Drosophila melanogaster: one gene and its partner. The protein of the gene in region 1 interacts with the protein of each later gene in a pairwise test. Each region holds a gene or a part of one and is shown on either strand. Other genes may lie near its edges.

Region 1 (6,383 bases):
CGACAATCATGTGTAAGACAGCAGGAAAATACTGTCCATCTTGTGACAAACAGCGCCATCTGTTGGCAATCTACGAAAACCGATGTTTACACATGAACAAATATTTACAACTCAATAATCCTTTACTAATTTGTTCTCGGATGCAAATTAAACATATTCTTAAGCGAAAGATCGTAATGCTCCTAGATCTCAGATTGCCTATAGGTTTATATTCATAAATAAACAAGTAAGAAAGTCCGAAATATTGAGCTATATATCATAAATATTCTGTTTTTTCAACTGCTTTCGTGAGGAAGTCATCGCTGCGAGATTCGATTTCTAGAAGCCGAGGTTCTTTTCTTGGAACAGCTTACAATGGTAAATGGTAATTGTAATAGACCAGCAAGGGAGCTGGAGGAACTGCTGGTTCCAGAAAAAGGGGGTTTGACCTCAGCACAGTCAGAGAAAAAGCCGTTCTCAACGATCTCGATTTAAGAACTTCGATCTCAAAATCTAGCCAAGATCGAATCATGCTCAGCATACTCAGGTCGAGATCGAACCATTCTCAGATTGCAACTGACTTTGCTCTTATTTTTCGATCTCTTTCTTGGTTTTTTAACCTTACCCACACATCATCTTCTACAATCTGAAACCCGATACTGCTTCCGTCTAAAATATGTATCCAACATAGAGATCGTTTTCGTCTCGAAAAAATAAGTCTTCTTTTCATGAGAATGATTGATGGGATGGTAGGGATTATCCTGGCTGTGTCCCTGTACCGATTCCACAAGACCTTGATGCTAGACGTGTTGAGGAGACCATACACACGGACAATACTCAAGTATGGGTTGAACTAGGGATACTTGAGGTTGTGAGGATCCTTAAGCTCTTTCGACGAACGCTTGACAAATATGTACAAGTAAAACTTTTGTTCTACTAACAATAATGCCAATGTGATTGGAAAAGCTGATAGTGAAATCTCGCAATGTTACTCTTGTGCTTGCTTGTGTTTTCGAATGCATACGTTGAATGAGCATTTTGGTTTCGCTCTAAAAAAGCAAGACAAGCAGTTGTGAAAAGTGTCTAAAAGGTTAAGATTTTGCCAGGCATCAGGCGAACACAACTGCAAATGTATCTAAAGGATATGAATGCCTAACTATTGTTATTGAAATACAACAAAAGTAAACTTATCAAACAAACAAATGGGCTTGGCAGTTGGAACATTCGGCTTGTTAAAGTTTCCGAGATATTGACGCTCATACGGACAGACGTACATATATGTACATACATATGTAACTGGATGGAGTCGGCTAGTGATCTCCTCAAGAATACAAATAGTATGCCCCCTTACACTTTGAGTAAATGGGAGACTACAAGAAAATGCATAAGACGGTCTGGCTTACAAATTGTATAAAAAGCATATTTATATATTCATAGAGGATTATATTGAGTTAAAAAAGTCTTCATATACATAATAAAAGAGATTTCACATTTTGGTTTTTGTTTCATCCGTTAAAGGAGTGCACTTTTAAGCGAGTAGCCTGCTAAACCGAGTTTCCGCAACTGGCCATGGGTTCCCGGGACCGCCTAGGAAGGGATCACTGTTTATTCAATCAGATCGTGCTTAGGAATCGGGCGGCACTGCAGGACAGCGGACCATGGAGGTCAAGAAGGATCGGAAGGGCAGGCTGACACGCAACATATAGTATAACCTAAATAAATTGCTCGCTTTGAGACAACACAGATAAGGGTAAGGTAAACAGACAAAAATGAATTAACATACAATATAAATCGGATTGGATTCGCTTAGCCTAGATGCGTATTACAATAATAATTCATTGTTAATCGCGTCTAAATACATAATAGGAATACAATTGTTTTCGTGTGTGGTTTCGCTTGATAGAAGTGATATGAGTTCGCTGATGGTTGGTGTTCCTTATGTTCTTTGTTTTTCTGATGAAGCAATTGCATTGCAGGCATTTGCATACGCGGCAGGTGTAAGTTAGATGTGTGTATAAATGTATGTGGTGTGTATATCTAGATACTACGGATATATATATATGGAGAATGCGAAATTAATACAGAATACTTAGCGCCCGTCGTTTCACAATTGAGAGTAGAATTAAAGCGCGATCGCAACCAAAATCTGCGTACAAAATATATGTTTTGTATATGTGTATATATACGACTTGTGTATAACTAGAGATTGCCGCCTCCGCCAAGCGCGTATATAAAAGATATACCCGCCTGCTCACTGCTGGGCCTGCATGCGCGCCTGCATCTGGGCGAGCATCTCCTGCATGCGCCGCAGCTCGGCCTCCTTCTCTTGCAGGATGCGGTCCTTCTCGCCGAGCACGCTGTTCGACACCACCTGCGAGCTGCTGTCCCGCTCGGCCTTCACGCCGTTCTCCTTGCCCTTGATGCCCTTGGCGAGGCGGTCGGAGCGGTAGTTTTCGTAGTGCACCTCCTGCGTGACCTCCTGCAGGTCCTGCATGTGGGTGCTGTGGGGCAGCGGGATAGGTGGTTAGTTAATAAGCAATCAGATATTGGAATATTTGCTTCACTTACATGAGCATCGTGCGCAGCTTGATGAAGTCGCAGTGATCGGGATTCTCTACCTCGACCACGCCCCATGGATACAGACGACCGCGCACCTTCTTGCCCTTGACCTCGAGCAGTGTGTTGGCGCCGCAGACGGCGAAAGGCACAGCTTCCTTAAGTTGCTTCACCTGCTCCTTGTAGTCCTCGTCCTCATCGGAATCACAGTCTGGCAGTGGGTAGATCTTGATGCCGTGGCTCTCGATCTCCTGCATAATGCGGCACTTCAGGCGCAGGATCTCCTTCTTTGTGAGACAATCGGCCTTTGCGATCACGGGCACAATGTTAACTTTAGAGTGCAGCTTCTTCATGAACTCTACGTCCAGGGGTTTTAGGCTGGGTACAAAAATTGATGTGATACTTCGTTTATACTTTCTATTATACAATTTGCAACACTACTGAGCTTTGAACTCCTTATTTTTAATATTAAATGTTCAAAAGTTAAACGGAAAAGGAACGCACCCATGACCGAACGGCGATATAAAGTAGAAACAGCAGTGAATGCGATTGTCCACAATGTTGCGTCTGTTCAGGCCGCTCTCGTCGCGCAGGAAGCGCTCGTATTGCTCATCGATGTACTCGAGTATGGCACCAAAGCTGTTGGAGTTGTCGATGGCATCGCCGAATCCGGGTGTGTCCACCACCGTCAATCTTAGCTTGACGCCGCGCTCCTCGATCTCCACCGTCGATGCCTCCAGCTTTACGGTTTGCTTTTGTTTCTCTGCAAGAGGGGAATGGTTTCCTGGATGAGTAATCAAAGCGAGTGATGACGAAAGACTATGCCCACCTATGGCGTCCGGAATAATGCGCTCGGGATAGAGATCGGTGAGAAAGAGACTATTGACCAGCGTGGACTTGCCCAGTCCGGACTCGCCCACCACCATTAGGGTGAACTCGAATCCCTTTTTCACGGACTTTCGATGCACCTGGTTGGGCAGGTTGGCGAAGCCCACATAGCCGGGCGTCTCGATGCTGGAAAACTGCACGAGAATAGGTGAATAACATTAGTATAGAGAACCAAAAGTCCTAGGCTTCATATATAAATAAAAATAATTAATATTAGAAACTTTCTGAGAATCTACTAGATAGGTAATGCCTTTAATTTCAGAACAGGTAAACAATCAAACATTGCTTGCAAAACCAAGAATTACTCAGTTCAATATCAGCACTATTTCTGGAACGTTTAAAGGCGAAACAAATGTGGACTTTTTTGCATATGGAAATTATAATCTTAACGAATTGCATATTAACTAAATGTGCCGTGCATTGTGTTCTATACATATGAATACATATGCGAATAATTAAGTGGGTCAGCCTATGCTGATTAAGCTATAAAACCATGCAATGCAGACTGACGATAAATCATAGTAATATTGTACATATATCTGCGGTCGATCAATTTATCTACCAATTAATTGGAACTATGTTTCTCGGTAAAACACTTTTGGGAATAGTAAAAACTTGCATCTCATGAAGAGAAAGTTGAGTTGAGTTAAGAAATGGGTTCAAGGATATGACCCAAAATGGACAAGTGATTGAAAGTATTCCATATGCCTTATTAACTCGTAACCCAACTCAGTTGGGTTGAGCTAATGTCTGGTAGTTAGGGTTTTGGGTCTTAGAAAGCGATGGCTTGGCTTGATTTGCATGCCCATCACGCGCGGATCAGTTTTCTCTTGGGCGCCCAAACTATGGGCACGGCACTCATTTCTCCGTGCACCAGAATGCACTGCCATGTGGGTCACGGGCGGCCGAAGTTGCTTCGCGAGGGCGGCAGAGGTCCCGGGAACAAAGGAACAACGCCGACGCCACCGGCATGTTGTGAATCACTTGACTTCTACTTCCACTTCCTTCTCCACTCCCGCTCAGCAATGCCCGCTCCCACCGAGTGGACAAAGGGCGGTGCAGGAGGAGTGTCCGATGAACTGGCGCGGCGAGATGAGCGGCAAACAAATCAACAGGAGCGCCGCATTCGGCATTTGATGCACTGGCAACCAGGAGTGGATGGCACGCCACGCCCAGTTGGCGGCGGATCGAGTTCGTTGGGGGACTGGCCGTTGGCCATTAGCATTTGGACAAGTGAACAGCGGCTACTCACGCCCTTTGTATCGGCCATTTTAAAAAAAAACACGAAACGAACGAAGAAATCAACGTAATGACGAACAAAATAGCAGGGCAACTAGTGTGACCGCAGCGCGCAACTGGCAAATCCTGCTGCCAGTGGGACCAGTTCGGCGGCAAAACAAAAATGACGACCGTCTGAACAAGATCAAGCTGGTATTTCTTTTGAAAATCTGGTTGAACGTAACCATATTTAATAAGTTATTTAATTATTATGGTTTTATATGGTTTATATTATATCATGACTATATTTTTATGATTTCACTTTATTAATCGGAAATTTAAGCCCGGACTATATTTACGATTTAGTTCGTAGCGTTTTTGACAGTAGATAACATCTTATGTAGATACCATGTCGAATATCTCCTGGCGCCATCTATTGTGTATCGTAAGGTATATTTTGATTGAATCGTTTTCCAATTCGCGCGTACACATTTGAAATTGTTTACACATTGGTGGCTTTTATAACTTGTAGTCTTTATTTTTAAAACAATACACATATTAATATTGGATGCACTTAAATTCACAATACATATCTATATAATCCACAATCATAGCCGCTCTAATCAAAACACAGATCATTGGATCTCAAGCGAATCGTGCCGAGCCTTAGCCTTAGGACTCCGGACTGGGGCTTCTGGGCTCTGCCGTATCCCCACCGGGGATCTGCTCCCACTTTCCGATACGCCTTAGTGCATAAACACATACATATATCATATCTGCACGGCTCTATACACATATATATGAATTGTTTCGCATGCTGATTGGTTTCAACTTTGGGTTTTTCGCTGTAATGTGTGATTCGTTAACAGAACATCGACTAGAAGACGGGTAGAATTGAGAGGAGACGCATGCAAATCAGGATTCGAACAGCGACATATCGCGGGGTAGCATCGAAATTGCGTCACTGCCATCCATCCCTATCCCTATCCCATTCTAGGTGATTAGCCGCGGAGCGTGCAGTCCATGGACATTCTCGATGGGCGGGCAGTGGGTGGCGCCGGGTGGCCCCCAGTCGTGCAGGCCGCGGGAATTCGCCAGACGATGGGTCAGCCGGTGGGCGATGCTGAAGCCGCCACTGCCCTCTAGTTGGGTGAGAACGATGATTACTTGTCTGAAAGCGTTAAGCACACGTTAAGCAATTAGTTGGGGGAATATTTTAGGTGGTCGATTGGGAGCCCACCTCTGCAGCGGGGGCACAGAGTCCACTGTCTTGAGTTCGCCGCGTGTCGACACCACATTGTAGCTCTCCTGGCAATCACATTTCACATGGATCCACTTATTCTCATGTCTATTTTCCACCATCACAACCAGACCCGCCCAGCCCTGTAAAGGAAATGCGGTCGAGTTAGTAAGGCCACCGAATCCCTAGATCCCTTCGCAACCGGATCACTTGCCTTGGTCAGATAGTAGGCGGTCATCCCCTCGCGCCCCTCGTGCCGCTGTCCCTTGGTTAGGGTCAGGCTAATGATAGCGTCGGCCAGGAGATGCGGCGAGGGACTTATCTGCTCCACCAGCAGACGCTTGGAGCTGTGTATCGCTAGGATGCATTGAGGATACTGGTGGGGATCCTCGATGCCCGTGTGCCAATGGTTGAAGGCCAGACACACAAGCAGGTAAATGTCCCGCTCCAGCATCTTGTGGCATCCCACAAAGCCTCGCACCTAAATGGAACGCAATTGTTA
Region 2 (9,273 bases), on another chromosome or scaffold:
CCACTTGGACAGAACACCGGATCGGTTCGAGTCCAGAGATTCGGCATCGGACATTTCCTCGTCGTCCCCATCACCTTCGTCTTCATCAACATGGCCATCGTCGATGGCATATATGTTGGTGTTGTAGTTGGGCGTTTGCTCGAAGAAGGTCACCGCGTATGACTGCTCCTCCGGCTGTGGCAGCTTCTTGGTATTGCTGTTGATATAGGGCAGACTAATGCCGCCTATAATGAAGCTGCGATCTGTTCGATCCGCTCTCTGGCGTTTTGGCCCGGCTTTGGTAGCCCCCCCTAACTTTGGAGTAGTCTCAGCTTTTCTTTTTATCCCTGCAAAATTGAACATGTATTGTTTTTTGGGTATACCCGATAATTTCGGAATGCAAACCAAACAAAAGCATATTTATGACTAGCTTCTTGAAGTATGAAATGCAGTTGATAACTTCGAATCGGGTTTGAAACCAAGAAAATGTGTTTCAAAACTGGTTTATCAAAAATTCTTGTAGCTAGAGTACGATCCTTAATTTAAGGCATTTGAAAAAAAAGGGATATATTTTTAACGGGTTTGCATTCCAAATGTGGCTTTAAAATCATTTATACACTTTAAAACCAATACAAAAGCTCTATAAGCTAGCTTGTAATTGGTTTGTATCAAATTTTTAATTTATTAAGAATTCAAAAGTTTATCCCTTACCAGCGAGCGGTTTCGCCATGGCCGCGTTGATCTTGGTTGCCTGTAGTTTCGGTTTGATTACCGACTGACCAGGTTTGGATGCACCAGGATTGGTGTTCATAGGTTTGTTTGGTTGCGGTGCACGATTGTCTTGTGGAACCGCCGACTTCTTGACCATTTTGTTTGGAATATCAGGATTTAGATTTCGAGTTTGAGATGTGGTTGACTTGGATCTGGGTTGATTAGGAGTCCCAGCATTGATGCGATCTGGCCCCTTGCCAGGATTTAAATTTTTATTGATTCTACGATTTAAATTAGTTCCATCTTGTATGGGACCCCCAGAATGGGCCACACTTGGAGCAGCTTCATCAGCATTTGGTAGGCGGCTTCGTCTGTTTTGATTGGGACCCATGGGTCTGTTAGAGCTCGTATCGCGGCAACGATTTCCAGAACCCGATCCACGGAGAATAGTGTTTGGATAGTTCGGTGGAAAATTAGGGTTATTTGAGCCTTGGAATGTGTCATCCTCCCTTCGGGGAAAGCGTACGGTGTCACCGCCACGCGAATAGTTGTTTCGCTGATTGAAGTTGTCGTTTAAGTTGCGTCGATCGAGTTCTGGATCAAACTGGCGCCTAATGCCCTCAAAGTTACGATCGTTGCGATTGCGTCCATATGAATTACGATCATCGATGTTATGATCTTGGATGTAGTGTTGATTACCCCTTGAGTGGTAACCCTCATACTGATCATCATTCATAAGTGTATCATTTGTGTCATCGATGAAATCGGCATCATCTTCAAGAAATTCGCGTTCATCGGGTATATAGTCGTCTATATCATGGTGTTCTAGATCTAGATCCTCTTCTTCGTCAGTCCAGTCGGTGCGACGTAGTATTATTTGATTGTCATTCACAATACGCTGATAATTGTGCCTCTTTTGGGGTCCACGGTTTCCAACCTGGTCAGCGTTCACATTACGTGGATATGGTGGTTGTTTTGGATGCGCTTCAGGCGAACGGAATCGATCTCTTGGCAGCTGAATGCCGTCATCGCTTATAGCATTACGATCCAAGTTGGGTTGCTGATTCGAAACGAAGTTCTGATTACCAGGCCTGCGATTGTTGTTTACTTGGGAATGATCATTGTTTGGCATCTGAACACGATAGTTGATCTGGTGATTTGGTCCTTGAAAACGTTGGTTATTAAAGTTTGGGTTCTCGTCAAAAGTTTTGCGATTGAATTGTGCATTCGCATTACGATTGTTATGGTTATGTCCTTGAGGGAATGCTTGGTTGTTAACATTACGAGTATTGCGATTGAATTCATCATTGACTGCATTACGATTGTGATTAAATTCCTGCTCGTTATCATTTCGGATATTACGATTGAATTCATGCGGATAGGCATTACGATTATTGCGATTGAAATCCTGTGGATTTTGATTTCTATTGGGACGATTGAAATCCTGGGGGTTTTGATTTCTATTAGATCGATTGAAATCCTGTGGATTTTGATTTCTATTGGAACGATTGAAATCCTGTGGATTTTGGTTTCTATTGGGACGATTGAAATCCTGTGGATTTTGATTTCTATTGGGACGATTGAAATCCTGTGGATTGGGACGTGAACCCTCATTTCGGTTGAAATTGCGATTATTTTGATTGAATTCACTTCTGTCCATATTTCGATTATTTCGATTAAAGTCCTGCGCATTTGCATAACGATTGCGATTGAACTCAGCAGGATTCATGCCAGGATTATTGCGATTTACGGGTCCACAATTCCTATTGATTGGCTCCCGTTGTTCCACAACTCCGCGATTGTTGTTTGGGAAATTTTCCTCTCTCTGACGATTCCTAGAACGCGATCGATCCTTATTAGCCGGTGAGTTATTCATCCTGGCGCTGTGCCAATCAATGTTCCGCGGCGGCGACGGAGTGCGTGGCCGCGACTCGACGTCGTCGTGGCTAGCCACCGCTTCCTCGATGGCTTGGAGCACCTCCTTGTCCACCACATCCTGGTGACTGTCGCCCAGCTCGACGCTGAGGCGGAACCTCTGGCGCTGGAAATGGCGCAGGTTGAACTTGGGCACATTGAAGGTGCGCTGCGCCAAGGCGTTGGCCAACACCCGACTGGCGCCCAGGTCACGGAGAAATTGGCGCCGATTGTCCAGCTCGCTGTTGGCTATTTTCATGGTACCACATATGAAATTTAAAATTTAAAAAAGCAGACACGTTTTAGGTTAGAGCTATGTGGTCACGTTTAGCAAACCAATTCCAATCTAATCTACTCATGACGACAATGCTCACTGAAAATATGCATACAAATTTTAGTTTAAATCTATAATAGATTTGCTTTGTTTTGCATTTCTTCCCACCCTTTAATTGCTTTAACAAATTGTACAACACAAAAAAAAATGATAATTTCAATTGCATTACTACTTGATTGCCTTTTCAGTCGTTATCAAAATGCTGACTAAGTTTGATGTTTGATTTTTTGTCAATCTATAAACACTAAGCACTGCCACTATCTCATATTTTAAATTAAACATCTAAATTGATTAGATTAGAAATTCTATCACAGAATTCTATTCTATTGGTGTGTACTTTCGAAATGCATAGCAGCAAATCCTGTAGTTGTAGTTGTTAAGAAACTACTCAGTAATTATACATTTATGGCATCAAACACACAATAAACTGATAATCAATAGGTATGGTCATGCTTATACCAAAATCGTGAAGAATTCGCAACCAAACACCCATTAAATGCTCTTAATTGTATGACTACTGTTGATATCGTTATCATTTCGGCCCACTTTTGTTGCTCTTGCGACAACAAAACGTTTAAGAGTCGCGTCGTGTGTCCATTTCGGTTCAGAATAATTTCACCAGAGCAGGAAAATATGTTTAAATCGGCACTTAAAATCAGGAAAGAGAGTCGGTATCTTTCAGCTGGGTTTTATTCTGGACAAACTTGGCATTATTGGAGAGTCGGGTGCTTTGATGGCAGGGGGTTTTAATTGATCGGGCGGCCACCAGGCAGTCAGCGCCACAAAAAGAGCCAAGTTAAACGCTCTCCGAGGTGGCGCTATTATCTCATTTTTGTTGTTTTTTTTTTGAGCACGGAAAGCGCGGAAAACAAATAAGTTTGTTCGCAGCGCTCGCTTCGAATTCAGTTTGCCTTTTTGCTCGTAACGAGCCGGTTGTCCGTCGATTTTGAAGTGCTCCGCCGACGCTGCCCTCCATCCAAATCCAAATAGCGATCCGACCTCAACCGCTACGGCTCGTTTTGTTTCGATTCGATTCTATTCACTCCGATCCCCCACAACCGATTCGTTTGAATCGCAGCGAGTTTTTTTCTACGTAGAGGTAATTATAAGTGACATTTCAGTCGCATCGATACCGCCAACAACAACCACCGCCGTCCATTTTTGATACCCTTGTTGATATGTGGTTGTTGGATTCCGCCAAAGCGGAACAAGTGTGCCAGTGTGCGTTCGTATCTATGTGTTGTGTATCTATCTCTGTGTGTCCACATTCTTTGCCTGAAATTGTGAAATTTCCGAAAGGCTCCAGAATATCCCGCGCAAACATTTCTCAGCAAACGAAAGAAATACGAAAAAAAAAAAAAAGAACTGACGAGAAATCGATGATTCACATTCAAAGTAGTTTGATATGGTTAAGTGTTTTGTCATGCTCGCAGCTCGATTATTTAATTGATAACAGAAAAAGTGTAAAAATTGTGGTGCGCAAGGTTGTCGTACTGCTGTTCGTACGAACAAATTTGAAGTTAATTGCCTCGTGGGTTCCACTGACGTCACAGGCCTTGAAAGATGGCCTACGATCTGTGGGTTCGACAGCTTCTCGCCCAGTCCGATGGTAATCAAGCTCCAAGGACTCAGAATCAGCAGCAAGTGGAGCAAACAAGTGTGCGATTAGGAGCAATATAGGGTTTACGATGTGCAATTCATAACTGGAGCAACGACAAACACAATGGAAGAGTCTAGTAGGGGGACAGCAACAGGCAGCACACACGATAAGGTTCAGCTGTGGGGTCCCCGATAAGGAGCTGCTCGTATAATCATTCTCGCTATGTGGAAGTTGTTTTCTCCAGAGTTTGCACACTTGGCTAAATGCAGCCAGTCAGCCTTATCTCAGCTTTTTCCCTATTAATAAAAGTCATCAAGTGTCGAGTGTCGTTGATATTCTGTAAATAAATCACTCTTCTTTGGCGGTGTAAACAATTTGTGCCGGCTGGCATGATCTGATCCAGAACAAACAAACCGTGTGTGTCAGTCAGGTTGTGAAGAGAGTGGCGTTTTTTGCTGAGAAAATTGTCAGGTTTTCTCCTTGATTTTATGGTGCAGCCAAGAGATCTCCATGCCATTTTGCTTAGCATCTCATCGTGAGTCGACGTTTTTGTTTTTAAAGAGAAATTTCACTTGGGTGTAAAGGCAAAACACACACATTTCGTACAATTGAAATATTAGGTTTTGTAAGGGGGTTTTTTCTGCCGATTGTTTTGTGCTTATATAATCGCTGCGGGAACAGGTTTCGCCGTTAATTATATCGAACTGAAAATACTCGTTTCAGATGTGTTAGAATTTTATCTAAAGTCAAATGGCTTAAAACACATGCGTGTACGGGGCAAACAAGTTTTTGGCGCCCATAAAATGTGACTAGCCCAATACCTTTTATGAGCTCCGTTCAAGATTCGCTTAAAGTTTCTCATTCCTTCTTTTTAGTTGTGTGTATCTCTGTGTAAATTAGTTCTTCTTCGAGGCGGGGAAACACGTTTTAGTCGCTCATTTGTCATTGGCATTGTACAATCTCGCTGGACTATAAACTATCGTTTCAAGTGGGCGCGATTAGACCTTCCTCCAAGTGGCCCTGGACATGTAAACACTTAACTGCCGTAGCGCACAATAACGACGGCTAGATTACAAAACTTCGTACTAACTACCCGCTCAACCCTCTTTTTGTTTCAATACGATAGATAGTTTGTCAAATAATAGTGTGCATAGGAATTAAACTGATTTGTTTGGATAATTGATTTTTTGCCTTTGTTTTGACGAATTATCCAATAGTTAAGTGCAAAATACTAATTAATAACCATTAAAAGATTGGAAATTTGAATATACAAAAAGTGTGCACAAACTATAGTTAACTTACGGAATTAATTAAAAAATTTAGAGCAATTGATTCAATTTTAAATACAAGTAATTCGGATATGTTTTCAATATTCGTAATTGGTTTTTAAAGTCTTGTCGAAGATTCGTTAGGATGGGTTTTTCTGTCCTATGACGTGTTCCATTCGCGTGCGTTTGTTCGCCTTATCGCGGGTTCACTGTACCACCCCGAGCGATTACGCGCAATCGACGTCGACGTGAGATGTTTATCAGGTTGACATGGTTCCGCGCTCGCAGAGATTACTGTGCACACACAAGTGCTAAGTAGACCATAAACCCAGAGTCATGCCTACTACTAGCTGGCTGTAATCTCCGGTTAGATTCTCCGCGCCACCGGCAGCGATTGCTGTGCCATGTGAAGCTCCGGCTGTTGCAATGGACGCCACTTACCTGCGGTCGGCTGGACAATCAGCGAGTCTCGCGGCGGCGGTTTCTGCTGCGGGCCGCTGCCCTCCGGATCGGCGCCTCCAAAGTACTGGTTAATATTGTCCTCAAACTCGTTCTGCATTTAGAAAATGAAAAAAAAAAAAAACAAGTTCATCTTTAGTGGCGCAGATAGTTCCTCACATCGAATTTCTCAAGTTTTGCTTACCCGCACAAAGCGCAGGTTCTGGTCGCGAAAATTGTCGTTGCCCTCAATGAAATTGGAACGACGCGACATTTTGCTGCACGATTTCAATTGCCAGTTACGAGTTAATCCAATGCAAATGCTATTTTTGCGCTGAGCGACGAGCGAAAAACGCAAATTTTATTTGCCAGAATGGAGCTGTCAACTCGATTGAAATGAAAACTAATGTGACAGTGTGAACGCCGGTGGAAAAACATTTAATGCCATGCGATAGGCTAAAAATACTAGATAGGCGTTTTCCCTGTACAGGGTGCTCATTAATAAAAAGTAAATGACAAGAATTTTCGAGAATAATTGCTATGAATTTCTATATGAAACTTTAAAAGCTTAATCCAAATTTAAGAAATTCATTTGTATTTTTGCTGTTGCAAATGCAATTGATTTCTACTTGCTTCTACTAAGTTTTCCAAGCAAATGTATTTTAATAATTTATGTACAAAAATTACAAGTTTCACTTAAATCAATATAAACAATTAAAATAACACGCAGTGCAGAATTATACACTCATTTTCCATCCGACACCCACTGTGCCCGCGAAATACCAGAAAAATACTAGCAATCAACTTCCCACTGTCACGATTAGCGGTTGTTGTAGTTGTGCGGCTTGGGAAGGAACAGCTGTTGGCCCGAAAATATAGATCCGTTTATTTCCTTGCCGCTTTACAGTTACCACATCGCCCGATATAGCATACGCATATAGCCCAATTGCACGTGGAGGAGGTTGCCGAGCAGTCGAGTAACCATGGCGGATGACACTAGTTCGCCGATGGACAGATTCTGCGGATCCACGTTCTGGGTGAGTGCATCAGCAGTGGTGTTCAATCCGAATGCATAGTGTAAATGTATGGTTTCCGTGTGTCCAACGAACAGAACGCAACAGAGACATGGTATACCAACGATCCGGACTTTACGCCCTGCTTTGAGCAAACGGCGCTGGTCTGGACACCCTGCGCCTTCTACTGGGCGTTCGTGATCTTTGACTTTTACTACCTGAAGGCGAGTTTGGACAGGAATATACCGTGGAACAAGCTGAACGTGAGCAAAGCTCTGGTGAATCTGGGTCTGCTGGTAATCACTGCCCTGGACCTAATTATGGCGCTGGTCAAGAAGGGCGGCGACTCTGAGCTGCCGCTCTACGACCTGGATGTTTGGGGTCCCATCATCAAGTTCGCCACCTTCCTGTTGCTCTTCATATTCATCCCGCTGAATCGAAAGTATGGCGTGCAGACCACGGGATGTCAGTTCATCTTCTGGTTCCTGCTCACTGTGCTGTCGATTCCCCGCTGCCGCACTGAAGTTCGACTGGACGCGGAGCGCCAGAAGATTCTGAATTCGCAACAGCCATCCGAGCAGGACTTTTCCTGGGAGGAGTATCAGTTCGTTAGCTTCTTTATCTTCTTCACCTTCACCAGCATTATGCTGATCCTGAACTGCTTCGCGGACGGAATGCCCAGACAAACCAAGTACCAGAGGGGTGAGAACGAGATTCCCGAACTGTCAGCCAGTTTCCTTTCCCGCATCACCTATCAGTGGTTCGACAAAATGGCCCTCAAGGGCTATCGCAACCCGCTGGAGGAGAAGGATCTGTGGGACCTGAGGCCGCAGGACAGCTGCTCCGAGGTCATGCCCATCTTCGCCCACCACTGGAACCAGAACGTGCGCAAGAACTACAAGAACAAGGCGCGCGTAGAACCCAAGGCGCAGTTTAGCAATGGCAACGTGACCTTTGAGAATCCCCACGGTGAGAAGAATGGCCGCAAGAAGGGCATGGCCAGTATTATGCCGCCAATTTACAAGTCCTTCGGAGGCGTCTTTCTGTTCGGCGCCCTAATGAAGCTGTTCACCGACACCCTGACATTTGCCCAGCCCCAAGTCCTGAGTTTGATCATCAGCTTCGTCGAGGCCCAAGATGCCGAGCCCGAATGGAAGGGTATCTTATACGCTGTCCTGCTTTTCGTTTTGGCCGCTGCACAGACCTTTATTCTGGGGCAATATTTCCACCGAATGTTCATTGTGGGCCTGCGAATCAGGACAGCTTTGATCAATGCCATCTACCGCAAGGCCCTGCGCATTTCGAACTCCACCAAAAAGGAGTCCACCGTGGGCGAGATCGTCAACCTGATGGCCGTGGATGCCCAGCGATTCATGGAACTGACAACCTACTTAAACATGATCTGGTCGGCGCCACTGCAGATCGGTCTAGCCCTGTATTTCCTTTGGCAGCAACTGGGACCGTCTGTGCTGGCCGGTTTGGCTGTGATGATTATCCTGATCCCTGTGAACGGAGTGATTGCCAGTCGCATCAAGACCTATCAGATCAGACAGATGAAGTACAAAGATGAGCGTGTTAAGTTGATGAACGAAGTACTGAGTGGCATTAAGGTGAGTGGCACTAGGACTAGGGATTAGGTAGAAGCCTAATCTCTTAAGTATAACAATTATCCTCTGTCATGCTGACTGCTGTCAGAAGTCGATGCTATGTCGATTCTATGCTAACCGTTTTTATAATCCACATAGGTGCTCAAATTGTACGCCTGGGAACCGAGTTTCGAGAAGCAAGTGCTGGACATCCGTGACAAGGAGATTGCGACGCTGCGCTCCACTGCCTACTTGAACGCGGGCACTTCGTTCTTGTGGTCCTGTGCACCGTTCCTGGTAAGATATGCCAGCCCTGCAGGGCTCTGAGTCCTCCGAGATTTCTTTACAGCTGACTGAGATGAGTTGGACGTGTAGCATTGGACTAATCTGGCAAATATATGTACTTCGTGTCCGAACAAACAAAGGTTTC

Evidence for each region. The genes of interacting proteins can lie anywhere in the genome.
Region 2: the proteins of Septin1 (region 1) and Pih1D1 interact in a two-hybrid assay, tested with the Drosophila melanogaster proteins (one large-scale study listed by BioGRID).

Annotation. Positions count from the first base shown.
Region 1 is NC_004354.4:21,356,686-21,363,068, reverse strand, and holds Septin1 (septin 1), read right to left. Parts: upstream 4,784-6,383; 5' UTR 4,694-4,783; coding exon 4,676-4,693; intron 3,558-4,675; coding exon 3,365-3,557; intron 3,299-3,364; coding exon 3,040-3,298; intron 2,914-3,039; coding exon 2,548-2,913; intron 2,481-2,547; coding exon 2,231-2,480; 3' UTR 1,381-2,230; downstream 1-1,380. Other genes in the region: waw (waclaw), read right to left, coding at 1-10; sol (small optic lobes), read right to left, coding at 5,635-5,812, 5,882-6,024, 6,096-6,362. UniProt on the Drosophila melanogaster protein: Involved in cytokinesis. May be involved in p53-dependent apoptosis.
Region 2 is NT_033779.5:12,715,204-12,724,476, forward strand, and holds the start of Pih1D1 (PIH1 domain containing 1), read right to left. Parts: upstream 6,641-9,273; 5' UTR 6,519-6,640; coding exon 6,450-6,518; intron 6,360-6,449; coding exon 6,248-6,359; intron 4,038-6,247; exon of another isoform or gene 3,842-4,037; intron 2,854-3,841; coding exon 691-2,853; intron 327-690; coding exon 1-326. Other genes in the region: MRP (Multidrug-Resistance like protein 1), read left to right, coding at 7,228-7,281, 7,356-8,867, 9,003-9,140, 9,269-9,273.